7 linked regions of the Macaca mulatta genome follow. The protein of the gene in region 6 purifies or fractionates together with the protein of the main gene of each other region. This does not show direct contact. Links are inferred from orthologs where the notes say so. Each region holds a gene or a part of one and is shown on either strand. Other genes may lie near its edges.

Evidence for each region.
Region 1: the proteins of CRK (region 6) and MAP4K5 purify together in Homo sapiens (affinity purification with mass spectrometry; 4 studies listed by BioGRID and IntAct, with this or other methods). This does not show direct contact. The link is inferred for Macaca mulatta from reciprocal best matches to the Homo sapiens genes CRK and MAP4K5.
Region 2: the proteins of CRK (region 6) and DOCK5 purify together in Homo sapiens (affinity purification with mass spectrometry; 3 studies listed by BioGRID and IntAct, with this or other methods). This does not show direct contact. The link is inferred for Macaca mulatta from reciprocal best matches to the Homo sapiens genes CRK and DOCK5.
Region 3: the proteins of CRK (region 6) and EDC4 purify together in Homo sapiens (affinity purification with mass spectrometry; 3 studies listed by BioGRID and IntAct, with this or other methods). This does not show direct contact. The link is inferred for Macaca mulatta from reciprocal best matches to the Homo sapiens genes CRK and EDC4.
Region 4: the proteins of CRK (region 6) and ASAP1 purify together in Homo sapiens (affinity purification with mass spectrometry; 3 studies listed by BioGRID and IntAct, with this or other methods). This does not show direct contact. The link is inferred for Macaca mulatta from reciprocal best matches to the Homo sapiens genes CRK and ASAP1.
Region 5: the proteins of CRK (region 6) and NEDD9 purify together in Homo sapiens (affinity purification with western blotting; 3 studies listed by BioGRID). This does not show direct contact. The link is inferred for Macaca mulatta from reciprocal best matches to the Homo sapiens genes CRK and NEDD9.
Region 7: the proteins of CRK (region 6) and PEAK1 purify together in Homo sapiens (affinity purification with mass spectrometry; 4 studies listed by BioGRID and IntAct, with this or other methods). This does not show direct contact. The link is inferred for Macaca mulatta from reciprocal best matches to the Homo sapiens genes CRK and PEAK1.

The regions. Positions count from the first base shown.
Region 1 is NC_133412.1:123,763,156-123,767,795, forward strand, and holds the start of MAP4K5 (mitogen-activated protein kinase kinase kinase kinase 5), read right to left. Parts: upstream 2,993-4,640; 5' UTR 2,868-2,992; exon of another isoform or gene 2,819-2,867; intron 2,593-2,818; 5' UTR 2,484-2,592; coding exon 2,376-2,483; intron 1-2,375. UniProt on the Homo sapiens protein: May play a role in the response to environmental stress. Appears to act upstream of the JUN N-terminal pathway.
Region 2 is NC_133413.1:27,133,533-27,137,622, reverse strand, and holds part of DOCK5 (dedicator of cytokinesis protein 5), read right to left. Parts: intron 1,491-4,090; coding exon 1,349-1,490; intron 49-1,348; coding exon 1-48. UniProt on the Homo sapiens protein: Guanine nucleotide exchange factor (GEF) for Rho and Rac. GEF proteins activate small GTPases by exchanging bound GDP for free GTP. Along with DOCK1, mediates CRK/CRKL regulation of epithelial and endothelial cell spreading and migration on type IV collagen.
Region 3 is NC_133425.1:63,446,922-63,451,745, reverse strand, and holds the start of EDC4 (enhancer of mRNA-decapping protein 4), read right to left. Parts: upstream 3,112-4,824; 5' UTR 2,910-3,111; coding exon 2,828-2,909; exon of another isoform or gene 2,809-2,827; intron 1-2,808. UniProt on the Homo sapiens protein: In the process of mRNA degradation, seems to play a role in mRNA decapping. Component of a complex containing DCP2 and DCP1A which functions in decapping of ARE-containing mRNAs. Promotes complex formation between DCP1A and DCP2.
Region 4 is NC_133413.1:140,447,655-140,451,744, forward strand, and holds part of ASAP1 (arf-GAP with SH3 domain, ANK repeat and PH domain-containing protein 1), read right to left. Parts: intron 1,761-4,090; coding exon 1,638-1,760; intron 1-1,637. UniProt on the Homo sapiens protein: Possesses phosphatidylinositol 4,5-bisphosphate-dependent GTPase-activating protein activity for ARF1 (ADP ribosylation factor 1) and ARF5 and a lesser activity towards ARF6.
Region 5 is NC_133409.1:171,910,149-171,914,238, reverse strand, and holds part of NEDD9 (enhancer of filamentation 1), read right to left. Parts: exon of another isoform or gene 2,568-4,090; intron 2,553-2,567; coding exon 2,106-2,552; intron 1-2,105. UniProt on the Homo sapiens protein: Scaffolding protein which plays a central coordinating role for tyrosine-kinase-based signaling related to cell adhesion. As a focal adhesion protein, plays a role in embryonic fibroblast migration.
Region 6 is NC_133421.1:2,983,132-2,987,221, forward strand, and holds part of CRK (adapter molecule crk), read right to left. Parts: intron 2,846-4,090; coding exon 2,310-2,845; intron 1-2,309. UniProt on the Homo sapiens protein: Involved in cell branching and adhesion mediated by BCAR1-CRK-RAPGEF1 signaling and activation of RAP1.
Region 7 is NC_133412.1:55,256,008-55,260,097, forward strand, and holds part of PEAK1 (inactive tyrosine-protein kinase PEAK1), read right to left. Parts: intron 2,908-4,090; coding exon 1,744-2,907; 3' UTR 1-1,743. UniProt on the Homo sapiens protein: Probable catalytically inactive kinase. Scaffolding protein that regulates the cytoskeleton to control cell spreading and migration by modulating focal adhesion dynamics. Acts as a scaffold for mediating EGFR signaling.

The sequences.
Region 1 (4,640 bases), on a different chromosome or scaffold from region 6:
ATTCATTCATTCATTTATTCATCAAATTTTTAGGAAGTACTCTGTGGTAGGCATAATCAGAGACAGAGCAGTGAAGAGATTAAAATCCCTGCCATCATGGAGTATTTTAGTAAATCAAGATAAATAAAAAACAAGAAAAAAAAATAAGTAAAACATTTTGTTGGTGGTAAGTACAAAGCAAAATTTAAGTAGAAAAAAAGATTTGAGAGGGTGTGAAAAAAAGGAGGAAGGGAGCAAGCCATACAGTAGGGGGTGGGGGGAAGGGGGAGACATTACGAAGAGAGGAAATAGCAAGAACAAGGACCCAAAGATGGGGAGATGCTTATTATGTTTAAGAAGCAGCAAGCAGGCCGGTGTGACTAGAGCAGAATGACTAAGGAGAGTGGTAGATGAGGCTGAAAAACAAGGGGGAAGGGCTAGGTCTTGTCCAGGAGCATTTGGGTAAGGTTTTCATGGACAGGTATTATAGCAACAGGTGGAAATGGAGGGGTGGAAGGTGATTCCAAGTAATTAGAACAAAGGAAAACAAAAGACAAGGAGCTACGAATGCCTTAAGGATGTTTAGAATCAGAGGCTGGCCTAGTGTGCAACGAATATACATGTAAGTGTGAGGAAGCAATATTGTGAGAGTAGGGGACCATGTGTTAAGGGGTGAAGGTAGAGGGTGATGAATATTCAGTTTTTGATCCTCTGTTTGGGAACTGCAGAAGAGAGACTAGGGCAGGAAGGCACCAGGGTAAAAGGCAGGCATTAGCTGTCCCTTAAATATAATCTTTGCTTTTTCCCTGGCATGAATAAAATCCTGCTCCAGATAGTTGCTTTAGTTACCATATCTATGAAGAAAAAGGGTGCACGTCTTAAGATCTTTGTGGGGAAAACACTCCTGAAACTTTATTGTAGTAGGGAGAAGAGACTATATACAACAAGTAGAATTTATACTATTGTAAATTAACATGAACTAAACTGAACTGGTCTAATACACAGTGAATCATAAGACAAAGATGACTAAAAAATGAGACTGAGAAAGGAAACAGGAATTTCAATTTTCTAAAGAGCATTCCACAAAATGGCTAATCCTTGGATAAACAACTAAGTTAACTACTTCTAATTTTACATAAAGAAGAGGAGGATTGTTACAATCATACACGTTGAGTTCAAAGGTATTCAAAAGGTAAGAGCCGGAGCCTTGCTCAGAATTCATCACCTCAGTACCTCTAGCAGTGACTGGTACAGAAGACTCGAATGCTTGTTTAAGGAATAAAAAGCCTATCCATTACAGTTTATCTCAGTAGAATCGAACAGTGCTAGGGCTGTAATACCACCACCTTGAAATGGTAATATTAATAGGGAGGAAATTAAAAGTAAGTAGAAAGAGGGGAACCACCTGTACAAAACAACAACATAACTCCAGAGGAATCTACTGGTTAATTACCCAAATGACACAAAACCATCTCAGCGGATATGCAGAAGTGTTGTTTGGCACAATGGGATATGTATTATGATCAAATCCAATAAACAACGCTATTCCCTTTTTGGAACACACAACAAAAAGCATAAGGCAATCTCAATCTCTTTCCTCTGAACCATTCAATAACACAGCGGATTTGGGGAATTGGGTTTGCTTCTCTACAATGCTTTTTAAAATCCTAAATTAGGAGTAACTCACCCTCATCGTTTGTCTTAAGTATTACAAAAGAGTACAATACAAAGACATCAGCTCATATCCACTCATGGTTATGGGATGTTAGAAATCCCTGAAAGGAACCGCTAAAGTAAAACAAAACCCAGCAAGTTAATATCACATTTTTATCGTCAACCAAAAACAAACGATCAAACTTCCACCAGGAAAAGCATCTTTTTATATGGGATAATGTTTGCATACATGTCACCAATATTAGTTTGTTTACAGTTAAAGCTCAGAGACAGGGTTTTATATGACTTTTTAAGCCAAACTCATCCATTAAAACAAAATTTTTTTAAAAAAATGCAAATGTCTGAATGTCAATATTTTTTCCTGTCTATCTTCCATGAAGCATTTTTCCATGCTAACACTAGGGCATCCTTCGGTGTAATTCCACAAGCAGATTCAAATTCCCTTCAATACCATAAACAAGCCCTATTAAAAAGCCTTTAAACCACAAAAAAGTGCAACAGCGGTTTGCAACTGTGTGGTTAGTTCTGCTTGTTGGTAGAGATTAGCATAAGCTACGAGTCGAGGTTGCTCAGAACCGAGTAAAAGGGACCTCGGCCGCTTTCCCCCCTAGAGGCAACAATAAAAGCATCCTCCTCTCGCCCCAATACTTCGCCCCAATACTCGTCCCATTCCCGGGACCCAGTCGACCGCAGGAAAAAAAAGCAGGGCCAGCCTCACTTACCTTGTAGACGTCCCCGTAGGTGCCGCTGCCGACCCTCTGGACAAGCTCGTAGTCCTGCTGCGGGTTCCGCCTCAGGATGTCCGCGGCAGGCCGCAGCGGGGCCTCCATCTTCGCTTAGGGCCCGGCCCCCGCCGGCTCAGCCGGCGGCTCCCCGATTCCCGCTAACGAGCACGAACGGCGCCGCTTCCCAACATGGAGCCTTCGCCGGCAGCTCCGCCTGCACGAGGGACGAGCAAAGACGGGTCGGCGTCGCGGGCTACGACCCCTCGCGGCCCGGCCCCTTCCCTTCCGTTCCGCCAGCGGCCGTGGAAGAGAAATGGGCCTGGAAGGGCCCCTGGCGCCCAGTATCCCTGTTCGGGCTGCAGCCCTTCCCCCTCCCCGGCCGCCCGCGAACTGCCCGACGGGGCCTCCCCGCCCGCCGGGGCCCAGGGCCGGCTCGGTACCTGATGGGGGCGGCCCCGCTCTTTGTTGAGCGCGGAGCCCGGGACCTACTTCCTAGACCGCACCCGCGTCCTCCTCCCCCGCGCCGACCCGCACCTCCGGGTTTGCCGCCACCACCGCCGCCGCCACTCAGCCGCTGCACCGCGCGTCCTCTCGGGGGCGGCGGAGGCGCGTACGGTCGCAGCCGCCGCACCACGTTCCCCACCCGGGGCTGCGTCACCGGGAGACACGTTCCCAGCCAGCATGGGTCGGCGCCCAGCGGCCCGCCCGAGCGCTCCGGCCGCGGAACCAGAGTGCCGCCCTGAGGCCTGCTGAAGACACGACACCCTCCCGACCGCGCCACCGCGCCCCCCTACCCGGGCGCGTCATTGCAGGGCCTGGGCTGTCTCCCTCCCACTCTCAGAAATAAGGGACACCCCTGGGCATTCGTGGGCCAACGGGCCTTGGCTAAACCGTCCCCACATTTGTCAGGTAGGCCTGTAGGGTAACGGGTAGAGGAAGAAGGGCGATGGGAACGTAGCCCTCAAGTTAAACACGGAAAAGATACGTTAAGGGCACCGGGCCAGAAGTAACCTGGCAGCGGGGCGCCAGGGAAGGAGGTGGGGGAGTGCCAGGTTAACTAAGTGCCGGCACACCCTACTGCACCTTCCTGTTTTGCAAACCATTCCCGGTGGTACCAGTTTGAGACTGCACTGCACACCTGCACAACCTGTCTTCTACTTAGTTCTTCTGAGACATTTCTGAAAGTCTGAATTCCTAGGACTGCTCAGTGGCCTTTGTCCCTGTTGGCCACACGCAGTGTCTTATCGCTGGTATTGCACCTTTAACAGATCAGGAGTTCCGAAAAAGTAAAACAAAGTCGGGGGTCACAGACTGGTTCTGGTTCTACCACTTCCTCAGTATGTGCTCTGGGACAAAACAGCGTATTTGGCAACATCTCAATGTCCTTATCTGCAGCTTGAAGAGGGTAAGATTTTGCATCTGACACACAGGAAAGTGTTTATAAAGCGTTTTACAGGATTGTAAAGGGGGTTATCGAATATAAGAGGTCTTAAAATACTTAAAATACTTAATGCACAGCATATATGGAACAGGAGTTCGGGGAAGTAATTTGGCTGGTATTTCACAAGCTGTTTGCAGTTTCAGTTCCAGTCTTGTTCTGAAGGTAGAAAATTAAGTTGCCAGTGTTACATTATACTGGCTAAGTTATTTCTAGAGCCTCACAGAGAATTTGAACAGAAAAGCCAGATAACACTCAGCCACTGCATTTAGTGACCGAAACATCACAAAAGAGCAAGTTGGAGATGTTGGCATGTGACTTTGAACATCCAATTTTTAATTCTGTTCTTGAGAAATATACTCCTGATTGTTGATAATTGTGTAATGTAGAAATTAAATTCGCACCTTAACAGGACAGGGCATATATGTATTTTCTTGTGCTCCACACACAAAGGACACTTATTTGGGGAACATAAGTAAGCCCAGACTTACATGCTCCATGGACAAAGCCTATGTGTTTGCTGCATTGAAAAAATTGTTGAAGAACAGTTCCTTCTTTCAAAGATTCTTGGCACTTGTTTTGGTGGGCACATACTTTTGGCTTCGATGACTCAAAATCTCTTCAAATGTTCTATTGGTATCTTACTACTTGTTTACTGTCATAGATTCATTTGGGACTTTTTTCCTCTGGCCCTATAAGCATTGATCCTTTATCTAGTCTGAAGTATGTTTATTCTTACATATTTATAGTAGCATTACTCCAGGGAATTTCAGGCAGCATACAGAAAACACATACTCTAAAACAAGATAAAAATAAGTGGGCAA
Region 2 (4,090 bases), on a different chromosome or scaffold from region 6:
AGCTGGGCGGCAAGCTCATCACTGGCTTTACGGTGAAGCACTGCATGTCTGAGGAACTTGTTAAGGAAAAGAGAGGGGCTGGGGCCGCGAAGTTGTCAGACACCAAAGGCCTGTTCTTCCTGCTTCACAGCCGGAAATGCCACCAGCACCAATCACTCCCTTTGACCCAAATCCCAGGACCACATTGAAAATGAAGTTCCTTTGTGTATCACCGAAATGCCTTATTCAGTGATTACAATGAATCCTAGGGTCTTCTTTTTTTTTTTTTTTTTTTTGGTCAGACACTGGCAAACAACCCTTGCCATAGGGAAATAGACGTCAATGCAATATCAGGAAACAGGTGCTTAGAAATGGATTCAAACAATTTCTTGGGACAAGCATCCCCTGAAATCACCAGACTCAGAGCCCAGGCAACAGGAATTGCTTGTATCTTTGGATCCCATCTGTTTATCCAGTGCCACAGTTGGGCACAGTGCTAGGTATTTTGAATATGTTATCTCTAACCCACACAACAACTCTACGAGAGGGAAATGATTATTCTCTTTTCACAGATGGAGAATCTGAGGATAAGAGAGGTTAAAATCCAACATCACACAGCTGGTAAGTGGTCAAGTTAGGCTTCAAAAGCAGCTCAAGGGTAAGTGCTCCTGCTCTGATTTAATGATCGTGTCTTAGAAAGTCTTAGCTCCCCAACCCACCAGGACAGAGATACCGTTTCAAAGTCTACAACAGAATCCAGAATTCAGAATAGGAAGTCTATGTTCCACTTAAGCACCCCATCTGGCTAGGAAGTATATTTCATATCCGTCACTTGTCTATTACCTCTCCTGTTTTTTTTTTTTTTTTTTTTTTTTTTTTTTGAGACGGACTCTCGCTCTGTCGCCCAGGCTGGAGTGCAGTGGCTGGATCTCAGCTCACTGCAAGCTCCGCCTCCCGGGTTCACGCCATTCTCCGGCCTCAGCCTCCCGAGTAGCTGGGACTACAGGCGCCCGCCACCGCGCCCGGCTAGTTTTTTGTATTTTTTAGTAGAGACGGGGTTTCACCATGTTAGCCAGGATGGTCTCGATCTCCTGACCTCGTGATCCGCCCGTCTCGGCCTCCCAAAGTGCTGGGATTACAGGCTTGAGCCACCGCGCCCGGCCTACCTCTCCTGTTTTGTTACATCATCACCACCAGCTAATGCTATGAGGGTCCCAAAGATTTTACATGGAATGGGAAACTGTGTCAGAACGCTTCAGAGGATCGTCTGTCTGCAGAGAAGGGACTGTAGCTCCCATCTTCTCTGGCTTAGCAGGGGCTGTGCACAGCCATAAGAGTCTCGGGGCCATATTCCCCACGGGAAGGATACACTGCTTGGGGGAGGACTTGATGTCTTCCCCAGGAGGCGTGGTGCTGGTCATCTTCTCCGCATTGGGGAACTGGGTTAGCAACCTCAGGCTGAAGTCCTCTCGCCTCTCATACTCCTTTCCCCGGTAGATGAAGATTTTATTCTGCAGGTGAGAGACAGCAAGGGAAGTCATTACATAGGACGAGTGAAGAGGCAACTGGAGTTCCGGGTACTGAGGGAGCCATTGCGCTCCCCAGCCAAGGTTCAATCCACACCATCAAGTTCTCATTGAATATCTAGTCCGTGCCTGACAGCAACTGTCACATCTTATAAGAGCTGCGGTTTATTTGAGAAGTTAAATCACAGGCATAAAAAATACTTAGCCCGGTGCCGCTTCTGGTGTGGCCCAAGGACCATGGCCAGTCTGCAAACAGTCTGGACCCCCATCTGCAAGGAAATAAGGAACTTGTGCCCTCAAGTAAATCAATGACATCACCAAGCATGCTGATATTTTCATGGCAAGACATTCTTAAGGAAGGAAGGAAGTGCATTAATTTACATTGAGGTATAAACTCTGTCGATCTCATCATGATCCAGTTTGTGGACCAGCATTTAAACAGCACAGCCTCAGAGAATGAGGAGAAGGAACGTGCCTTCTGGCACAGAAACAGAGTCACAGAGAACAGAAGCAATGTACCAGTCCCCAGCCAATCCTGAAAGTCTGAGAGAAAATCACCGCATTAAATACTATTTTCTCCACTCTAGACTGCAAATATAATCTCTTTAATCAAATTTTTTTCCCCAAGAGATTTCCTAGGCCGCAGGCATGGGAGTAATTTGTGTCACAGGTGTGACTGCCTGGGCAAGTGCAAACATAGCCATGTTCGAAATGAGCAGTTTGCACAGGTAGCCCACACATGATTCATTTTTAACCAAGGCTTGGGCCCAGGTTGTCTTGTAAAATGTCTTTGAAACTCACTTGTCCATTCACATAACAAATATGTGTTGTGCAAACAGAAGATCAGTCAGACAACAGGAATACAATGGTGATCCTGCTCTCACAGAATTACCTTCTAGAGGAGAGAATAAAAAACAAGCAAGTAAATAAATAAGTAAACCTGATAGTGTAAGTACCGTGAAGGCAATTACACTTTTCAGGCAAATACTGAATGAAGGGAGTAAAAACTACTGGATCTTTTGGAATACATGATAAAACTTTTCCAAGCTAGGAAAAATCTATGGGACTCAAGCCTGTTGAAATTCCATCATTTAGGTGAAACAACGGTGGGCAAAGGATCAGAGTGTAATACAACACTAGTTGTATGATGCAGACGATAACTATAAAAGGAATCAAAGCAGGTCAGGAAGAATTAGCTTGGCTGGAAACAGAAGGCTTCAAAGAAGACACGGGCCTTAGACAGGCATAGACAGATGAATGGGAAAAGGAAGTGTAAAGAGAAGGAGTGAGAAGGGCCAGGCGGGTACGTGGAAAGGGTCAGGCCCAGGGGTGGAAAGCACAGAGTCCTGGGAGAAGACATGAGCCTGGCCTGGAAGAATGAGCCAGAATATGAATGATCTTGCATGGCAGGTAGAGGTTTCAAAGACTCGGAATGTTCACTGGAGGTTCTGGAAGGCAGGAGCCGCATGATGAAAGAAGAAGTGTAGACAATGTAAGCCAACAGTGGCATCTATGTCCAACTGAAGGCTCATAGGCTGGACTGCGCAGGAGAAGGAAAAGGAACAGCAGGAGAAGGAGAAGGAAAAGGAACAGCAGGAGAGGGAGAAGTAAAAGCATTCAGTGTTTGTCTCTTTGGTGTTGGGAGAAGGGCGAGGAAGATAGGGGAGTTGATGCTGATTCAAAGATCACTGGTTTTGAGCCTGGGCAATACAGTGAGATCCCATATCTAAGAAAAAATAAAAACATTAGCTAGGCGTGGTGGTACACAGCTGTAACCCCACCTCCTCAGCAGGCTGAGGCAGGAGAACTGCCTGAGCCTGGGAGGTCAAGGCTGCAGGCAGCTGTGATTACGCCACTGCGTTTCAGCCTGGATGACAGAGCAAGACCCCATTTCTTAAAAAAAAAAAAAAAAGTCAGTGGTCTTGGAGTAGGAAGAACAGTGGTACCCTTGACAGAAACAAGAGAGATAAAGAAATCTCACCGGGTTGGAAGGAGAGGATGATGTAATTTTATATATTCTGAGTTTGGGGAAATATCCCATAGAAAAGAATGGCACTGACGTTATATGCACTCACAAGGATTTTATATTCTACTGTAAGTATGCTCTGAGGTATGTTAACATCTATAAACTACCTTACAGTTTATAAAGCACTCCTATATGCTATTTACTTAATTCTCAAAACTTTCCTGTGATGTAGGCATTATTTTTCTAAATTACGGATCAGAAAACCAAGACTCGGTGATTACGTGATTTCACCAAAATCACACACTCACTCAGCAGGTGATTTAGACTAGAATGCTTCTGACTTGAAGTCTGGTGTTCTTGATTTCACAGAATCACTGCTGTCTCTGTGGTCACATTTCTGATTTCATGCAACACACAGGCATATGTCACAGATGTGGCAGGGCTTGTTCTTTTATGTTGACCTGGATTAAAGCAGAGCTAACACTAGACACTGATGCATTTTTACCCTACACTCTATTTTTTAATTTTTAATTTTTTCTTTTTTTGAGACAGGGTCTCACTCTGTCATCCAGGCTGGAGTGCAGTGGCTTGATCACAGCTCACTGCAGCTTCTAATTTC
Region 3 (4,824 bases), on a different chromosome or scaffold from region 6:
CCCTTTGAGGCCAGTTAATACTCAGGCCTGGGTTACTACAGAACTCTGTGCACTCTGAGTGAGGGCATAGGAACGGTCAGGAAAGACTTTATACAGCAGTTAGTGTGGCCAGAACACACAAACACAGGAAGGATGGAGGGAAAACAAAGCTGCAGAGGCATCAGGTATGATGCTGTGGCACTTAGACTCTTCCCTGTGGGCCATGAGAACCATAAAGAGTTTCAAAGGGGAAGGTGACGCGGTCAGTTCTGGCCAGTGGGATGATTAAGATAGCAGGCAGAATGGTTGAGAATCTGGGTGAGAGAGATCACGGCCTAGACCAATGTAGTGTCAAGATCTGGAGAGAAGATGGGCTCCTAAGGCATGGAAGGGCACTGGTAAGATGTGGAAGGGGCTGCCCCACACAGAAATGGCTCCAAAGAAGCTATCTTGGGCAAGTAAACACAGAATGCAGGGACATAAAGGAGCTCGACCAAAAGGAGAAAAACTATGGGACAGAGTGTGGAGTAACGAAAGACAGCATTTCAGTTCTTTGCAACTGGCTGGGTTTCAAACACTCTCATAGGCTCAGACACCATTTCCAAAATCCCCAAATGGCAAGGAGCCTAGGGCTCCACATTCAGGAACATAGCAAGTTTCCAGTCACAACAGTCTTTCGGTTCTTTTGGCGCGATCCTGGCTCACTGCAACCTCCACCCTCTGGGTTCAAGCAGTTCTCCTGCACCAGCCTCCCAAGTAGCTGGGATTACAGCTCAGCTAATTTTTTTTTTTTTTAGATGGAGTCTCGCTCTGTTGCCCAGGCTAGAGTGCAGTGGCATGATCTCAGCTCACAGCAACCTCCGCCTCCCAGGTTCAAGGGATTCTCCTGCCTCAGCCTCCCAAGTAGCTGGGACTACAGGCACGTGCCACCATGCCCGGCTACTTTTTTTTTATTTTTAGTAGAGATGGGGTTTCACCATCTTGACCAGGCTGGTCTCGAACTCCTGACCTTGTGATCCACGCGCCTCGGCCTCCCAAAGTGCTGGGATTACAGGCGTGAGCCACCATACCCAGCTTTTTTTTTCTTTGGAGTCTTGCTCTGTCGCCCAGGCTGGAATGCAGTGGCGCGATCTTGGCTCACTGCAAGCTCCGCCTCCCAGGTTCACACCATTCTTCTGCCTCAGCCTCCCGAGCAGCTGGGACTACAGGTGCCCGCCACCATGCCCAGCTAATTTTTTGTATGTTTAGTAGAGACGGGGTTTCACCGAGTTAGCCAGGATGGTCTCGATCTCATGACCTTGTGATCCGCCCACCTCGGCCTCCCAAAGTGCTGAGATTACAGGCGTGAGCCACTGTGCCCGGCCAATTTTTATATTTTTAGTAGAGACGAGGTTTCACCATGTTGGGAAACCATGTTGGCCAGGCTGGTCTCGAACTTCTGGCCTCAAGCAATCTACCCACCTCGGCCTCCCAAAGTGCTGGGATTATAGGCGGGAGACACCGCACCCAGCCCTCAACAGTCTGAGTTCTGACCTGGTCCTCCAGTGAGAGGAAACAAGAAAGAGCTGCTTGGCAAACAAGGGAATCAAGTGCCAATCAATAAACAAAGGAATTATAAGGAAAGCCTGCAGGCCACTTCATTCGGATCAGAGCCACTTTAGCTGTTCAGTGACAAGCTGACCACTCTTCCTTCCATGAAGGGTACCATGAGGACAACCAAAAAGCAGGCCCAGGCTGTACATGGTTGGCCATGCCAGGCTCTACCAAATATCTGCAGAGTCTAGTCTGCAAAGCAGCTGAGCAGCAGAAGAGGTCCACGCCCAACTCATGAGTGAAGAGGGCACACACTCCAGGCCTGGCACAAAGGCCCCAGTGGTCTCAGGCAGCAGATGGATTTTCTGAAAGTAGGGGTTAGCTGAATCCACCCCTAGTGAGCACCAGTGCCTGCTTCCAAAAGCAGCCAGTCTGGGCCTCCCAGCAGGTGTAAGAACAAGATCTGAGGAAACATCAGTCCTCCACTGTACACCCACACCATTATCACCGGCCACTTCAGAGATCCCTAAACCTGTCAGTAAACTAGTGCCTCCACACGTGCTATTTCCTTTTCCTAATAGGTGGCGTCTACATACATGCCTTGGGTGCCTTTCCTGACACCCAAGACCCTGTTCACATTACCAGACCTAGCCCACTCTCCCCTCTCAGACCTGTACTCTGCACTCATCAGCCTCCACCCTTCCCATGCCCATCACAGTATCGAGACACTCCTCTCTTTCAATGACAACAGTATATTACAACCCTGTTAGCTGTGTCTTGAGGAATCTTTGGGGGCAAGATTAGTTCTGAGGTATCATTAAGAGCCAAAGAGAAATATGAATGAATGGGAAGAAATTAGGGCTTGGAGATATTTGTAGCCTAATTCAGTCAGGGTGGTGCGGTCTGTGGTTTGCCTTCATCCCAGAAAGAACACGGAATTCAGGCTGGACACCTTCCTCCTGGAAATCAGTTTCAGAACGGGAGGCCTGGAGTCTTTATTCCAGAGAGAAGGGCAAGTTATGGCGGGGACCGGCGGCTCTTCAGCATCGCGCTTAAGCCTAGGCCCAGAATTCCATATACGGAGCCCAGACCAGGCCTCTGAACCATGGCGAAAGGGAAGAGAAGCTAGGCCAGTCCCAGGAACACTAGAGACCTGGGGCCAGGAAACGAGGGGCGCAGTCAATCCCCGTCCACCCTTACCCGCCAGGAGGATCCAAAGCTGGTCCTAAGGGAGCTGCGGGCCCCAAGGGCGGTTCAGACGCGCGCCGCCCTTTTGTCAGCTCGCCTGGGGCCCACCCCCGCAACCCCCGCTCACCGCCCGCGGGTCGGTCCAGCTTGAGGATGTCCCGCAGGTGCTGCGTGGCGTCCTCGATATCGATGCTCGCGCAGGAGGCCATGAGCCCAGCGGCGGGCGCCCCGCCCGCACCGCGTTCGTTCCGCCGCCGCCGCGCACCACCCACCCTCGCCCACCCGCGACGGGGCGAGACAGCAGGACGCCGGTCACTACACTCAGTCCACCCGCAGTTCGCAAACCACCGCCCGCGCAGCGTCCCCGAGCCCCGCCAACACCACCAACCGCCTCCACTTCCGGCCCCCACTAGCCGAGGCTCCCGGAACCTGTCAGGGACGGAGAAGAAAGGTTCCGGGCTGGGGGCGGAAGCCTAAACCCTTCCCGCAGCCCGTCCCCTTCGGCGGCCCCGCCCCTGTGCCCGCGAGGTCAGGGAAGTTCCACAGGGATGAGGTAAACGTCCACACACTGGGCCACCCAGAACCCTACTCGACTCAGAAGCCGCCAGGTCCCTGCCCACTCCCAGAGCATGGCTCCAATGGTCCCAGGACGGGGTCAACTCAGCCGCCCATGCTAAGGTCCTTCAGACCCCCAGAATATCCTGAATTGGCAGGTGCCTCAGGTTTCCTTTGGAGAATGGGTGGGAATAACTCAAGGCCTGAGGCGACCCTCGAGGTCATAAAACTCAGGAATTGCAAGAGCAGAGATGGCCCCACCACAATGATCAGTCATTGTTCCCTACTGTCCCCCAGCATCCCCTTGTCCCACCTGGCACCCTCAGGTTAGAAGAAAGAAACCACAGTTTACAAATTCTTCTTTATTGCAGACAGTTCAGGCACAGGTACATGGAAGAAGCTGTATTGCAGATTTTACACAAGGTGGTTTGAGGCAGCAGGCACCTACCTCTTCCCCACCCCCACTTCCCCAAATACACATCAGTCTAGAGATCATTCCTATTGAAATCTCCTGAGCATGCTGTCCTCTCAAACAGCACACCATCCAGCCCTGTGCCCAATGTCACCCGGCAATCTATGGGATCTGAAGAGGTGGGGATACAGTCCACCCGCACTGGGACGGGGAAAGGGTATCCTTTTACACGTCAGATTTAGCTGTGGTGTCCTTACCAGTCCTAAAACCCGTAACAGGGCACTGACCCAAATCTTGGGTTTGGTTCTGGCCTATCGTTGCTACGTTGCCACTAGGTTTATACCATCCAGAAGTCTGTGGGATGGGGGGCTAGATTTGTATTGGGTAAGGCGTTTGTCCCCAAAATGGAGAAGCAGAAACTGCCCTAATAGCTAAGACTCCCTGGGATTTGAAGACAGCATGAAGTCTGTATTCTGAGGAAGGGAATAGAGGCCTGGCAATGTCCTGCAGCAGTCTGAGGGGTGAGGACTCCTAAATTATGAGTCCCTCACAGACTGCCTCCTTCCACAGCTCTTGACCTATACTCCAACCCAACTGGGCCTGGCTCTGTGGGCAGTGGAGGCTGGCTCTTCGGATTACCTGCCTTTGGGTAATGATATCCAAAGCAGATGGGACAGGAGCTGAGCTGCCCTCTGCCTGGTTTGGTGTATGTGGGGCACCCTGGATATGATCCTGATCCTTCTGGGGATACAGCGGACCCCTCCCTTGATACTGCTGAGACCTCAGCCCACAGGGCCTAAATGTGATGGGCCATTTTGCCAAGGCCTCTCCAGCTTCAGCAGGATTCAGGATCATCTCTCCTGCTACTAGAGCCCTGAACCTCGCCAGAGCAGAAGTCACAGGAGGTATCAGAACTGACTGCACAGGCTTCAGTGCGAGAAGCTTCAAGTCGGACCTGAGCTCTTCCTGCCTGCTTTCTCCAGACCAGTCGCCCTGTGGAGTGGGAGAGAACTGCCCTACAGGGCTTCTGAGAGGCTAGCTGGGAGTGCTGCTTCAGCAGTTTCTCCCTGAAACAGGTATTCAGAGTTGGGGCAGAAGTGGGAGGGTGAGACATGAGACAGACAATGGGTCCGGGTGGCTTTTGATGCCCAGCCAAC
Region 4 (4,090 bases), on a different chromosome or scaffold from region 6:
AAGAATCTGGGCCGGGCGCGGTGGCTCAAGCCTGTAATCCCAGCACTTTGGGAGGCCGAGACGGGCGGATCACGAGGTCAGGAGATCGAGACCATCCTGGCTAACATGGTGAAACCCCGTCTCTACTAAAAATACAAAAAAAAAAAAAAAAACTAGCTGGGCGAGGTGGCGGGCGCCTGTAGTCCCAGCTACTTAGGAGGCTGAGGCAGGAGAATAGCATAAACCCGGGAGGCGGAGCTTGCAGTGAGCTGAGATCCAGCCACTGCACTCTAGCCTGGGCGACAGAGCGAGGCTCCGTCTCAAAAAAAAAAAAAAAAAAAAAAAATCTGACGTCACTGTTTAGGCCTGAAGGAAGAAAAGTCAAGGTGAATGTGTGTCCATGCATACGGGTGTGTGCACACATTATATACACATGTATTTCTGGGCATTCTTAGGTACTGCTGGCTCAATGGCGAGCCTCAGGTCCCTTCCTGGCAGACAAAACTGAATCCCTCTTGGCAGTAGGGGGCTCAGGCTGCCAAGGAAGGGGAATTTTCAGCCTGATGGCAGGAAATGATCAACAAGGAAAGCAGAAGAGGGGGCTTGTTCACTGTACCTTGGACTAGCCGTTCCCATCGGGACTTACTCCCTGGCAACCTGAAAATTAACAGATGTGCGGACTGCCCTCACAGGTCACTGATAGCCTGAGTACCCAGCAAGGCCTATGAGGATGCTGATGTCTTTCCCTCCTGATGCCTGGGCTGCAGGTTTTAATGTAAAAGGAGTTTTCATAGATATTTTCATTTAATCTTTTCCTAACATTACATGGAGAAGGTGTCTTGGCCTATTTGACAAAGAAAGAACTGCAGACTGGATTAAGAATGGAGCCTGAGGACTTGTCAACTGCTTAGCCTGAGCAGGAACTCCGGCCTTCTGATTCCCAGCCTGGGGACAGTGTGGAATGGTGAGCAAAGCATATAGGCTCTGGGGTCAGGGCCGATCCAGAATCTTGACTTAGCCTGCTTACTGGTTGAGGGAGCACAGGCAACATGCTCAACTTTTTTCTGCTTTAGTTTTTTATCTGAAAAATCAGAAAATGCCTACAATTTACAAGGTTACATGATACCGTGGGTAAAGCACATACAAATGTGAATTCTCTTGACCTGTCTTCAAAGCCCCATGGCTGTTTTTTTTTTTTTTCAGACGGAGTCTTACTCTGTTGCCCAGGCTGTAGCGTAGTGCAACCTCTGCCTCCCGGGTTCAAGTGATTCTCCTGCCTTGGCCTCCCGAGTAGCTGGGACTACGGGCGCACGCCATCATGCCTGGCGAATTTTTTTTATTTTTAGTAGAGACGGGGTTTCACCTGCTGGCCAGGCTGGTCTCGAACTCCTGACCTCGTGATCCATCTGCCTTGGCCTCCCAAAGTGCTGGAGTTACAGGTGTGAGCCACCGTGCCCGGCCAGCTCCATGGCTGTTTTTCTAGCATGTAATAGTGTGTGACACAGAAAATACAATTGAGAATACTGCATTCAATGGCTGTTGGGTGAGTGATACAGCTCAAGGGACCTCTTTTACTGCACTGTTTGTAGGCTCCCATGTGGTGCCTGCCAAGGCATGCTGTATGAATGTACCAATGAAGTGGATGGATTCGTACGTACCCACCACTCCTGGTCCTCTTCCCCTGTGACGATAATCACTTCTCCCTCGATGAATGTGAGCTCGTCATCGTTGTCCGCCTGGCAGTCATAAATGGTCTTCACCCGCCTCACTTTATTTTTCCCCTTAAAGAAAGAAACTGGGTTTTAATTGAAAGAATGGCCTGAATGGAAAAAAAGAGCAGCGGTTCTTTGTAAAATGGTTGACCTTGGGCAAGTAACTTAACCTGGCTGAGCCTTGATTTCCTCACCCTTGAAGGGCGGGAAGAGTGCCTGCCAGGTGCCCGGTATACTGTGTGCTCTTAAGGAACCACAGGCCCTTCCTCTCCCCCCATCATCAGTGTGGCCCCGCATTGGTGATTGGGCATCAACAAGTTATTTTCACCAGAAAGCAAACACTATGGGTAGGGATCAAAATTCAGCTTCACCAAAAAACATCAAGCACTCGGTACCCTCCCAACCCACATCAGCTTGCAGAATGACAGCAGAGTCTAAAAATGTTTTTAGGAAACATGACGTAAAGCAAAATGTGCAGCTTCGACATACTGAATGTGCAGCATAAACAAATTTGTCAGTCCCCTCATGCAAAAGAGCAAGTCAGTACATGCTGGTTAAACACAGCAGGATCGGCCTGGGGCTAGGAGAAGTCTATGTAGTTCCTAAAACAGTTTTAATTTTTGATCAGTTTTGATTTGAGCATTTATTTGTTGAACTTCCAGTTCTTTGCAAACAGAAAAGTGAAAATAGAGGTGTCACCTTCTAAGCGATGGGTTGTTTGTTTTGCACCCAGCTAATTGGCAATTTTAAAAAAAGCAAGCTGTCTGTTTAAATGTTTTGGGTGGAGTGACTCTTCCTCTCTGTCCCCTGGTTTCTCCTTTAATCACCCTGATAGTTCCAGCTGCTTTCTGAGCTCCCTTCAGGGCCTGTGCGAGTGGGCTGGAGAAGCCTGGCAGAACTGTGGCAGTGACTGCGTGAGCAACTGAGAGGCCTGTAGTGTGTTAATTTATAACGCGGAGATTAAATGACATAATAAAACTGTATAGTGTGTAGCATGAAATGAAAATTTTGCGTAAGTGGTGCTTGGGAGTCATGAAGAGTTCCCTTTTGAATACTAGAAGTATCTACCATCAGACACGGCAGCCTCCAACCTACAGGAAGATGGGTTTTATTTTTCTTAATTTAAGTATTGATATGACATACTTTTATTGTAACTTTTTTTTTTTGAGAAGGGGTTTCACTCTGTTGCCCAGGCTAGAGTGCAGTGGCATGATCACGCTCACTGCAGCCTTGATCTCCAGGGCTCAAGCAATCTTCCCGCCTCAGCCTCCCAAGTAGCTGGGATAGCAGGCATGTGCCACCATGCCCAGCTAATTAATTTTTATTTTTTAAAGAAATGGGTTCTCCGTATGTTGCCCAGGCTGCTCATGAATCCTGGGCTCAAGGGAACCTCCCACTTTGGCCTCCCAAAGTGCTGGAATTACAGAAGTGAGCCACTGCACCCAGCCTCGTTTTAATTTTTTTGAGACAGGGTCTTGTACTGTCACCCAGGTTGGAGTGTAGTGGTGTGATCACTGAACTTCTGGCCTCAAGCAATTCACTTACCTCTTCCCAAAGTGCTGGGTACTGTGTATAACAGAATGTGAGGGGGGTAGAACTGCCATGTGCAGTGGGAGAACTTTTGGTTTCCCTGTTGACTGTGCTCCCCCTCCTGGGGAGCTGGTGCCCTGGTGGGAGGGCAGCTATGTTCCAGATAAAAAGCATGTGACATCTTCCTGGAGTACCACATCTCCACAAAGAATGTGAGGAATAAAATCACTTATATTAAAATAAAATTGATATACAGTAGGAAACACTTCATGAAAATGACAGAATATGAGATTTCTACAAAATTCTATGCTATTCTATTATATCAAGAGCTCTATCTCCAATTCCTTTAGGAAGATGCAGTGAGAAGGTCTGACTCAGCAGATACTCAGGGAGCCAGGCGCAGTGGCTCACGCCTGTAATCTTAGCACTTTGAGAGACCAAGGTGGGAGGATTGCTTGAGCCCAGGAGTTCGAGACCAGCCTGGGCGACATGGCAAAACCCCATCTCTATCAAAAATATTAAAAAAAGCCAGGTGTGGTGATGCGCACCTGTGGTCCCAGCTCCTCAGGAGGTTGAGGTAAGAGGATCACCTGAGCCTAGTAGATTGAGGCTGCAGTGAGCTGTGATCGCACCACTGCACTCTAGCCTGGGAGACAGAGCAAGCCCTTCTCAAAAAAAAAAAAAAAAAAAAAAAAAAAAAAGAATACCCAGACATCTGAGAGGGAAACTGCTTTCTCACGACCCTCAGGAAAAGAAAAGTTTCATCCTCAAGGTTCCTAGATAAGAGTGACTACTTGCTGAGTGGTCTAGGTGCCAGCCAAGTGCTACTCATTTGTCACTGTATTTAATCATCTGTGAGCTCAGATGTT
Region 5 (4,090 bases), on a different chromosome or scaffold from region 6:
GCCTGAGGGTCACCCCAGCACCCAAGCCCTTTGACATCAATCCAAGGGAAGATGAGTCCAAATTTCTGCCCTCTGGAAGGACAGGGAGCCATGGGGAAAGCCTGCAGGGCAGTCCCAGCAGACACAAGGGGAAGAAGTCTGAAGGCTTAGGCTTCTCCCACTTGGAGCTGAAAAGGTTGGGTCTAAAAAGGAAAACACACTACCTTCCTGCCAAAGTCAACCGTGATGAAAGTTTAGAGCCCACCACCTCTCCGCCAAGCATTTCCTGTTCTGGCCTCCCCATCTGCCTCACTGGCTCAGATGTGGGAGAGCTATTTTTAAGGTGCAAACAACCAGGACTAAGAATGAGAGAAGTTATTTATTTATAGTTACACCTTTCAACTGTTTTTTTCCCCTCTGGAGATAGAGGCCAGGTTTCGTTTTCCCTTTGAATCTACAATTCCCAGGACAAGGAAGACTGAAAAGCCACAGGTCAGTTTATCACCTCTAGGCCGGCATCGTTGTCATGGGCAGTACAAGTCTAAAAGCTGTGCACCACCCTTGAGGAATCCCTCTTAAGGAACATACACTCAGCTCATGCCACATGTGTGCTCTTGAGAAGTATTTTGTAAAACATGCTTTTTATATAAAAGGTGATTCAAAAATGCATTAGTGCTTTGGTTGTTTAAAGGAATCCACCCGCACAGTCAGGGTCTGGGGTGGTGACATGGCCAGGATGGGGAGGGCAGGAGGGTGGCCCTGGCACATCCCCTGCCAAACACCAAGGGTTTTCGGCACTATCCTGATCCTGGGTCTCTAGGCTGCCTCTCTCCATGTACCCAAAAATGCATTCGTGCTTTCGTTGTTTAAAGGAATCCTTTGTTTTTTCAACCGAGGATTCTAATAGCATCAAATAGATACTCCCTAATTTACAGAGGTTTGTAAGATCAGACTTCATATTAGATTTACTTGGGACAGGGCAGATCTATAGCTAGTGTTCTAAGGGTCAACAAGCTCTTTCTGGTTATGTAATTGCATCTTTCCTCTTGTAATTCAGGGATATCTTCTTACCCAGTTAAATTGGTTCATTCCTAATACCAAACCTTGCAGGACCCATTGGAATTTGCCAGTAAATGAAAGAGGAAATCCCTCCCTTGTGATGTTCACATAAGCATCATGTTGGTTGTGGATATTACCCCGATCAGTCCACTGACATTATTTTCCTGATAGCACGTGTCCCCACCTAGCATTCTCTTGGTTGCTTCCGTCTCCCCCACGGCAATGTAAGCATCACCAGGGCTTTGTTTATCTTTAATTAATCACTGTATCACAAGCATCAAAAATATATTAGGTGCTCAACATTCATTGTTCAATTAGTGAATTTCTATTGACCTCAAATTGCTAAAGTATTTGGGATTATACAGGGTGTTGCAGAGCCCCCCACACTGTATTTTTAAATTAATTTCTTCTTAAATATCCAAGTTCCACTGTTTTCACCCACTGCCTCAGGCATTATTATAAGAATGACTTGAAGGACAGGAGGACAGCTTCATTCCAATTCCACTAGTATCTATGCATTTTAAATGAGTCAAACTAAGCTGACAGCTCTACAGAATGAGTTGGTCAGCATGACCTACTCCCAGTTTCCTCACTCTCACTACTTTGGGTGGGTTCCTTGTTCAGCCAGGCCACCGAGGTCATGATTCAGCTTTTGGCCAAGGGAGGATCCTTGTTGCATCATCAGGCTTGTATGAGATTTGGTGTCTGTTCCACTCCATGAAGAAACAGAAAAGATAGGAAACTATTTGAGCACAGAATGAAGGCTTAGAAGCTAATGTGTGAGAAAGATGGAGAGAAACAGTTTAACAACCCATGTAACCCAGGATGACACAGGAACTTAGGAGGGCTGGAAATCAACCATACTCAGCACGTGGTAGTTCAAAGAGGTTTTGCTGAATAATGGATGAATGGCAAAATCATGCATACATGATACCTGAGCTAAGGTATTGGTTATATCTACTTCTTGGCAGCTTCAAGTTATTATTTTGGGAACATTTCCAAATGCTCCAAGTGCAATGGGAAAAAAAAATAAGTAGGAACAAAGATTTAGTTAGTGACTTACTCACCTTTTTACCCACGTGGGGCCCACTGGTTCCCCCAATGCTTCTCTGCACTGATGGTGGCACCTGATATACCTCTTGTTCTTGGGTGCCATGGCCAGTGGGGACTTGGTAAATTCCCTGATTTTGGTAGGAAGGTGGCACTTGGTAGATGGTGTCTCGGGGAGCAGCCTGTGGGTTTGGCACTTGATAGAGCTTCTGTTGGCCAAAGGTCTGCTGCATCAGTCCAGAGGCAGGCTGGTCGTGACTGGAGGTGGTCTCCTGCACAGGACCAATCAGAAGCTTCACCCGGTTGCCTGGGACAATGCCTTGTCGACCATGTAAGGAGCACAGCCACCATCCTTCCAGTCCCCCTGTATTCTGCTCTATGACGGTCAGGATGTCTCCCTTGCGAAAGGCCAGTTCCTCGGCACACTCTGGGACATTGTCATATAAGGCCCTTGCCATAAGATTCTAGGAAAGAAGGAAGAGAAGGAAACCATGTTAGAATATTGGGTCAATCCCTTTAGCACCTAAGGCCTGTGCTCTTATGGAAAGGCACACTTCCTGGAAAGAGAGAAGCATAAATCTGAACAATAGACTGTAAGGAGAAAAACAGATGGTGCAGACAAAAGACAGATACATACACACTGCATCTGCCACCAGTGACATCAGACTGCCTCCTTGGAAAAGCTCAAAACACCAGAAGAGTTCTTTCCTCTAGCAGGAGATGCCGTGCCAAGGAATTATGAGTAGCACTGTTACAGAGTTAGAGCATGGTTCACTATTCAAAATGTTTTTCTTCCTTTTTTAAAGTGAGCTTAAGGAAAAAAAAACCCCAAGATCTTCAGATGTACAACAATGAACATTTCTCAATATTGTTCTATACTGGAGGTGAAAAGAGTAAAAGAAAAATCCCAAATAACACAGTACAAATAGCATTTATATTTGGAGTTGAAAAATCAACAGAAGTCCACATATATATGCCTTGGCAGGGCTTAGAAATTCTTGTTCTCAGATGACAGGAGCCTCCGATCCAGAGAGAATCTACAAGCAAGGCATACAGACATGCCATCAAGCATGGAGCACAGGCCGGCAGTCATCTACATCTCCAGCTTTGACAACGAATTTATTAACACGTAGGAGGATGCCAACTCTTCTCTTTCGGTCTTTTATGCATACCTTTCCTGAGGGCCCCTCCTCGCCCTCCCCTTTCGTCACCTACTTCTTGAATCTCGCCATTCACATTGGAAAAGCTGTGCCTTCCCCTTTCATGGGTCCAACACACTCTCCGTCTTTGTATGAAGGCCTGTCTGGCACATTCAGTACTAAGCAGACAGCCAAAGTAGGCATTCAGCAGAGAGTGGGCAGGCGGTACGTGCTGACATTCTTGGAGGCCTTTCAAAGGCTGGGAAGATTTCATTTCTTGGCATTAGTAAAGTTTCCCAGCACGCGGGCAGCCATTCCCGCATGCCTGCCCCCTTCCCAGAGCACAGAGAAGTCGGGGACGTTGTTGATTCAGCACAAGCCCTCGGAACACTAAAAGTGATCTCTAGTGCTTTGTGAAGATGTTTGGATGCACTTAATGTCATTGAGGTGGGGCTCATTTATGGAAGAAGGGATTGCGGATTGGATGGGGCAGGTTCGTGACTTTATTTCATACCATGACGTATTCGTGGGATTTTCGGCTGAGGTTGTCTGGACTTTTGCCCTCTGTTTTCTTCTCTAGCGACGTGGACTTGATCATTCAGCCTCGAGCTTTTCATTTCTTTGAGGCTGACTTGCACCACTCACGTCCCCCTGTGCCAGCCCCATTGCCACGGGTTGTGCGCATTCTCCACTCTGGAGGGCTGTGCAATGGAAGGGATCTGCCCTCTATTCAGTAGTTGGGAAGGTCCAGTTCTGCTGCTGTGAGCCAGGTTCCTCTTAGCCAGGGCAATTAAAGGAGATAAACATAGAGGACAGTCCTCAGGAAGCTTTGTGATACTCTTCAAGAATAAGGTTGAAGTCCT
Region 6 (4,090 bases):
ACGGACTGAAACTGGCATAGGTGGAAAAGGGAGACAGGCCTTACCCTGGCTCTGGTGTGAGTCACAAAAGATCTCTAGCTCAACTGATAATGCCTGAAGCTAAGCTCCCCATCCCCTTGATAAGCAGTGATCACACACAGTACATACGTTTTAGCTCAACATAAAGACATTTCTAAAAATTGGCCAGGCACAACAGCTCACACCTGTAATCCCACCACTTTGGGAGGCCAAGGTGGTTGAATCACCTGAGGTCAGGAGTTCGAGACCAGCCTGGCCAACATGGTGAAATCCTGTCTCTACTAAAACTACAAAAATTAGTCGGGCATGGTGGTGTATGCTTGTAATCCCAGCTACTCAGGAGACTGAGGCAAGGGAATCGCTTGAACCTGGGAAGCGGAGGTTGCACTGAGCCGAGATCGTGCCACTGTACTCCAGCCCATGCGATGGAGCGAGATTTCGTCTCAAAGAGAAAAAAAAAAAATCCAAAAAAACCCAATACCCAAATCAAAAAGAAAAACTTACTAAAATCATAAACCAGTTTTCTACTCAAATCTTTATTTATAAGATTTGTGTTTCACAGCAGGTAGAAAAGCTCAACCATTTTTTTGAGCAGTAAAGCCTCTAATTAAGGCAGGCATGATAAAATCTCTTTGAGAAGGGAAATGCAAATAGAAGCAAAATTCATGTGATAACTGGTTTCTCCTGGGTCAGCTGGCTTGTTCCATGGTTTTTCTTTTTTTGAGACAGAGTCTCAGTCTGTCACCCAGGCTGGAGGGCAGTGTCATCATCTCAGCTCACTGTAGCCAAGACCTTTCAGGCTCAGGTGATCCTCTCTCCTCAGCCTCCCGAGTAGCTAGGACCATGGGCATGTGCCACTATGCCTGGCTAATTTTTTGTAGAGATGGCATTTTGCCATGCTGCCTAGGCCGGTCTCCAACTCCTGAGCTCAACTGATCTGTCCACCTCCGCCTCATAAGGTGCTGGGATTACAGGTACAAGCCAACACGCCCGGCGTTTGATCCATGTTTTCATACTTACTTCAACCCAGTGCTAACAAAGTCTGGAATAAATATCAAGAGTTACACCTAGTGACTCAGTAAGGCCAGAAAAAATAAAAAAAAAAAAAGAGAGAGGAAAAAACAAGAAAATAAAAAAGAGTCAGATCCATCATACACACAGCACCATGCCAGATGTTACCGTCATCTCATCTCACCTCACAGGAAGACCTGAGGGTAGAAATCTATTTTCCTCCAAACAAAGAATGAGAACAAGAGGCAGTGATAACCCTGACAACACACATTCCATTTCTCAGTCAAGCCAGGACTGCAGGTGCATGCCACCATGCCTGGCCGTTTTTTGTTTTTGTTTTTTTTTTTTACCACTTTTTGTTTAAAAAGCTGAGGTCTCACTACGTTTCCCAGACTGGTCTTGAACACCTGGTCTCAAGTGGTCCTCCTGCCTCAGCCTCCCAAAGCACTAGGATTACAAGTGTGAGCCACTGTGCCCAGTCTGTACTAGCTTTTACACTGAACCATCAGCTCTTCTGAAAAGAAAGGAACGGAGAAAGGAAGGAAGGAAGAAGAAAGGAAGGAGATAAAGGTGTGACTGAGAAACAAAGGAATAAAGGAATTAACACCATGTAATGGCTGGCCAGAAGGAAGTGGGCTACCGAAGGTATTTCACCAGTTAAGGCAAAAATTAACTCCTGAGGAAGAACTGGCTTCTTAAATGATTTAGAAAGACCCGTGCACCTGCCACTCCTCGGAATGAGGACTTCTGGGTGTGAGTCTCTTCACACCTCTACCATGCCTGCTTCCTCCTGGATTCTTACTCAATGAACACAATTAGTGGTAAGGAACTTCACGTCCCCTGAAGCAAAAACAAGTTTCTGCGGGAAAATTCCATTTAAGTGCTTTGATAGAGACCACTTATTACACTCAAATCCATCTGAACCCACCTTCTTTTAGACAACGACAAACAGAAAGCAAGAAAACAGATGAGGATGTGGATGAGGAAAAACATTTGAGGTGAATTCCTGTGAATTCAGGTGGTGTTATTAAAGCAGTCCAAGTGTGTTTAGTAGATCAATTAAGAACATTCAGTTATACAGTTTTAAGCTTACTCATTCCCAAACAGGTTTTCTATGAAAAAGAGAAAACCCAACATTAAATGCCAAAATCAGTGCTTAGCAGCTTTGCCATCTACAACATCCCAATGCTGCTGTAGTCAGCATTGCTACAAAGCTCTAAGAGGACCGAGAGGAGACCCTGCAGCAGATCTCTTCTTTCTACATTGTGCACGTTATGTACCTCCAAAGCCAAGGCTGTCTTGTCGTAGGCATTGGGGACTCGCTTCTGGATAACCCTGGCATATATGGGCCCATTCTGGAGGTTAGGGAGCGGAGTGTTGACGCTGGGTTGGGCATAGGGCCCAGGCTCCGGCCCACCCAGTGGCTGTGGGTGGGAACCCTCCTGGTTACCTCCAATCAGAGCCGATACTGAGGCGGAGGCAGGTCTATACTTCTCGACGTAAGGGACTGGAATCATCCCTCTCTTGCCTTCGCTGTCCTCCGCATTCCACCACTGCTCTTCAGGCTTGTCCCGGATTCTCAAGATGTCTCCTTTCTTAAAGGGAAGATCTTCCTCATCATTCCCATTAAAGTCAAAGAGGGCTCGCACATACTCCGCCTCCTCCTGCCTGAGAATCACTCCACTACCCTGCCTGGATCTGGAAACCGGTTCTATCAACGTTGTAGTGTCCAAATAGTGTATTTTGTAGAATTCCAGTAAAGCAGGCAATGAATCAAACTCTTGATCTCCTATTCGGAGTCTGGAGGGGCTCACCCCTGGAAAAAACAGAGCAGGCTGTTATTTAATGATGTACTATACTGGAAATTAAATACAGATTTTATTTTATTTTTTTTTAGAATTGGGATCTCACTGTATTACCCAGGCTGGTCTTGACCTCCAGGGTTCAAGTGATCCTCTCGCCACAAACTCCTGAGTAGCTGGGGCTATAGGAGGTCACCACTGTGTCTGGCCGAAATGGAGATTTCACGCCCCATATACATTTAGTCAAGATTTAACCAGAAAAAAAAAAACTCTAGAAAAAATAACCCTTCTCTTCACAGCATACCGACATCACATTTGGAAGCTGAACTATCCCCTGGGAAGAAAGATGCCCATCACTAGGGCCCCAGGGAAGGATCAGAAGGCCAAGAGACTAGGCTAGTCAGGACGCACTCTCATACTTGAATCAAAGACAGAGGGGCTTTCAGCGCATCCTCCAAACACATTCTGTCGCTGCCCTATTTACAGAGCAGTGTACGCCTCAAGGTTCTGTCGCATCTTTTTCGGAGACCAAGTCTCACTCTGTCGCCCAGGCTGGAGTGCAGGGGCGCGATCTCAGCTCACTGCAACCTCCGCCTCCCAGGTTCAAGCGAAGCTCCTGTCTCAGCCTCCCGAACAGCTGGGATTCCAGACTCCCGTCACCACACCCAGCTTTTTTTTTTTTTTTTTTTTTTTGTATTTTTAGTAGAGATGGGGTTTCACCATGTTGGCCAGGCTGGTCTCAAACTCCTGATCTCAGGTAATCCATCCACCTCAGCCTTCCAAAGTGCTGAGATTACAGGCGTGAGCCAGTGCCCGGCCTGCATCTATTTTTCAATCTCAGGAAATGTAGCAAGCTCTCATTTTCCATGGGTCCCTGCTGATGTTCCAGAGGGTGGAGAGAGCTTAGTGTCTGCACTGAGCTCATACATTTTTCCCCTCCACATCTAGAATGTATAATTCCGAATAAAAAAAAACTGTCTCTTTATTGTTATGGTTTTTGTTGTTGTTGAGACAGTCTCACTGTGCCGCTCAAGCTGGAGTGCAGTGGCACGATCACAGCTCACTGCAGTCTTGACCTTCCAGGCTCAAGCACTTAGGGAAGCTGAGGCAGGCGGATCCCCGGAGCTCAAGAGTTCAAGACCAGCCTGGCAACATGGTTGTCACTGCAAAAAATTTAAAAAATTAGCTGGGCGTGGTGGCACACTTCTGTAGTCCCAGCTACTCGGGACGCTCAGGTAGGAGGATGGCTTGAGCCTGGG
Region 7 (4,090 bases), on a different chromosome or scaffold from region 6:
CTTGGCTTTAAGGAAACTCTGCACTGGTAGATGAGGGGCCTCAGGGCTCACTCACTCACTAGGCACAGAGAACATGTCTGTCAACCCTGCCACAGGTTGCTTCTCTAGAGGCGTGGCCTCTACTTCCAGCATGCGTGTGCACGCACACATGGGCACACAAGTGTACACACACATTGTTCGAGTGACTCTTGGGATTTCAAGGTCAAAGTAAACACATACTCACAGTTTTGAATAAAACAAGCACAGGTGCACATGTGTATACACACACACAAACACACACACACACACACACACCCCCCAGTGGAAGGAACGCTCATCTCTTAGCGCAAATATGTGCCAAGGGAAGAAGGGGGAAGGTTTCTGTAGACTCGCTTCAGGTGAAGTTGCAACATAAACACTGTAATATACAGCTAAAAAAATACATACAAAAATTGCACATATATCCATAGGAGGGGAGCACAGGCTGCACACATGGTGAACAGCTCTCAATCACCCACCTCAGCAATCAGAATTCTCGTGAGCTGTCCTCCAGAGCCATTTTAGAGAGAGTCAGAAGGAACAATGAGCCACTTACACTGGGAGGCAGTCTCTCTAAAAGAGGTCAACATTCTAAGGAGGTCAGCAGTCTCATCAGTGGCCTTCTTCCCCTCCCCTGCCTACGGCCATCCCAACAGCCCACCTCACTGTGCCCTGTAAGATCTTAGAGCTCCACCGACAGCTATTTCATTCAGGGCAATTGTTTACAGCATTTGCTAAACTAGTTAACACTGGCTACTGATAGAAGGGAGCTGGCCAATTACTGCTCAGGGGAAAACTGCAAATGCTGACAGTTCTGACAGTAATCAAAGGGTACTTTAAACTCTGTTCCCTGATGGCCCCTAGAGAATTGCACATGCAAGAAAATCATCTCCTCATGCCCTGCCAGCTATTTATAAGCTCTGAACTGCACTCCACCCTGCTGAGGCATTGGTGACACCACCTTGGGTCAGCTCTGTAATGGGCCACAAGTGGCTGATAAATCCAAACATCACTGGCAAGTGGGGACAGAGTAGAGAATCAGGCAGTGGCAGCAGAGGGGAGACTATTAGGGCTGTCCTCCATGCAGTGCACATACTTACAGATAATGGCAATGAAAATGGGTTGATGACCCAAGGATGGGATCTCTCCTTTTCTTTCTACTCTCTCCTGGAACAAAGGATATAGTCCCTGGTAACCAAAACTGGGCTGATGCTAAAGATGGCAGTTCTGCCTAGTAAGTCAGTTGTTGACACCTTAAAGGAAGAGTCTGTTGTCAGAGTCTACTGGGTCATGGTAGAGACTGGTTAAGTCTGTCTACTGCTAGTGAGAATAAATACTCGGTGCTAAAAAGATAGGTGATATCCAGAATTATAGAAGAAATGGACACAGCTCACTGGCTCACTGAGTTCATACCAAAGAAGCTGTCCCTTCAAGAATATGGATTTTCATTTTTACCTGCATTTTCTTCTATTAGGATAGAAGGTGTTTCAAAGGAAGGCAACCGCAAGTTTGTGCAGCTGAATTTCTGTAAAGTTAAGACAGACTCAGCTTCTCATTCAATTTGGGGCAGTGGATAACCTTTCTGAATGGACCTACTTGTTCATGGACAGGGATAGAGGTTTGTCTTTCTTCTTTCCTTGAATTTGGAGTGAGCACTAGGAAGGGGAAGTGCATGGGTGACATGAAGAAGGTGAAGATGTGGTAAAAGCAGCATCCAGGTACACATTAACGGTGCTGTAGAATTTTCACAATACAACTGAGGGAGTCTGTAGTGGCAAAAGCCAAATACTGAGCACAAAGCCAGTCCTCAAGGCTGATCCCACCTTCCCTGTCCAGGGACTTCTCAGCAAACTTGATCATGAGCAGTGTTCGCTTGATGTCTAGCCAGTTTTGGAGCAGGGTGTTCCTCTGCACTAGGCTAGGGCAGGCGGTGAAAGTCTGGAAGAGATCTTCGCGGGGGCCCCAGAGCAGACACTGGAGGATGCCTTTGGCGTCTGAAATGAGGATCCGCTCAGAAGGGTTGGGATTCAGGAGGCAGCTGGCCAGCTGCTGCAGACCCCGGGAGTAGGGGGAGCGGAGCGGGATGCGAGGCAGGTCTGCTCGTGTGTATTCCCTCTCCTTCAGCTCTGGGTTCTCATCAAAGGGGTTGGGTAGGTGCAGCATCTCATAGATAAGGATGCCTGTCTGGAACTCATCACACTTTTTATACTGGGTAGCTGTTATGATCTCTGGGGCAAGGCGAGACTGGTCCCGGAGGATCTCGGGGTCCACCAGATGGCTCTTCTGTTTGGCCTGAGAGAAGTTGCTCACTATAAGCCTAGTGGGATAAGATGAGGTGGGGCTGGGCTCCGCAGGCCCAAAGCCTTGGGCAGTGCCCCCAGGCTGGTAGTGGACAAGTAGCAGGTTCTCTAGGCGTAGATCGCAGTGAGTGACATGGTAGGGTTTGAGGTGCTCAAGACCAGAGCATAGCTGTAAGAGCAGCAGACACACCTGCCTCTCATACAAATCAGGGCTTTTCCCATGCTGGGCTAGAGAGTCTCGCACAAAATCAGCCACAGTGAGACATGGAACTTCCCTGGTGATGACTACAACATGGCTCCTCTGCTTCTTGCTCATGACTCCCTGGCTGTCTTTCTGGGATGATGCTGCTTCAGAACAGGGCTTTGGGTTTTTCCCATCCGTTTCTCCTTTGGCTTCTTCTTCAGTCTCTTCCATGTCATCCTCTTCCTTTTCAGGGTCATCAGGATCCTCCCAGGGAAGCAGACGGTTAGGGACTTCAGCAAGGAAATGACCACAGTCCTGCTGAATGTTAAAATGGACAGCCAGACTCTGCCGGACAGCCAAGCTGTGATAATACTGCTGAGATTCTTTAGCTTTGCTCTTACAGATCTGAAAGATAATAAAACAATTTAAAACTCACACTCTCATAACCATGTTTATGATGTATCAGGAGGATTAACTACAAGGTGACTGGTTAGGGACAAACGATCATATAGTAAAGTTGTTAGCAAGGCTTGCCCCATGTTAAGTGACAATAATAATGGTGGTAACCGTTTCTCATGGTTGTCTACACATTCCAGGCTGTGGTGAGCACTTTCTGTGTACCATTTTTAGTCCTCACATTAACCTTTCAAAGTAGATTAAGGATCTAAGAATTTAAAAAAGAAAAAAAGCCCAGGGTTATGTTTGCAAACCTAAGTTTGTGTAATGCCAAAGCCTGCTCTTTCCACTATAACCTTGCACCTCATCAGAACAACAATGAAATAATTTTTCACTTACTTCTGTAGAGGTTTGTAGCCCAGACTGATAGAGCGGGCCAACAGACTCATAATGGAGACCAGAATACCTTATTTCATCACCCATCACCCTTTGTGTCAACATCTCACAGGGAAGGAGAGGGATATAACATTGGCCAGGTAAACTGTGGGTTTTCCTAACTTTTCAGTGAATGTCATTGTGATGGTCACAACACTGGCACTCATGGATCACTGGTAGGGTTGAGAGAGTCACTGGTCTGACCTAGTCAGAACAAAACCATCATTTCAATGGCGGTTGTCTGAGTTTTATGCTTTCTCTTAACAGGCCTCATTTAACACCCGCTATTGAGGCAATAAGACCTTTCCTAAAGAACTTTATTAAGTGGTTATGGATCAAGGAAGAATTTTTTGATCAAAAAAAGTTAGCCAAGAGTTCTATATACTGTGATGATTGTATTTCTACTCTAAGGGGTTATCAAACCAAAAAGTAAAACCACCCCCAAATGGGCTATCCTCATGCTATAGAGAGGCTGACAGTGGAAGACTCAAGTCTCTAATACTAGTTCATGGATCATAATAGTCTGGCCTGGAGTCCGCTCCACAGCCCTGTTAACTGAGGGTCATTCTCTGCTGTCCCTCCTCAGCAGGGGCACACTGCCACATATTACAAATATCAAAGGCTTCCAGCAACATGCACTCTCTGTAGTGTTTACACTGCGTGTTTATTACAATAATACAGAAAAGCAAATTTTAAAAAAGCAATTTTTAGTAATTTTTATTTAAAAAGAAAAATGTATACATTCTTAGGAGGATTC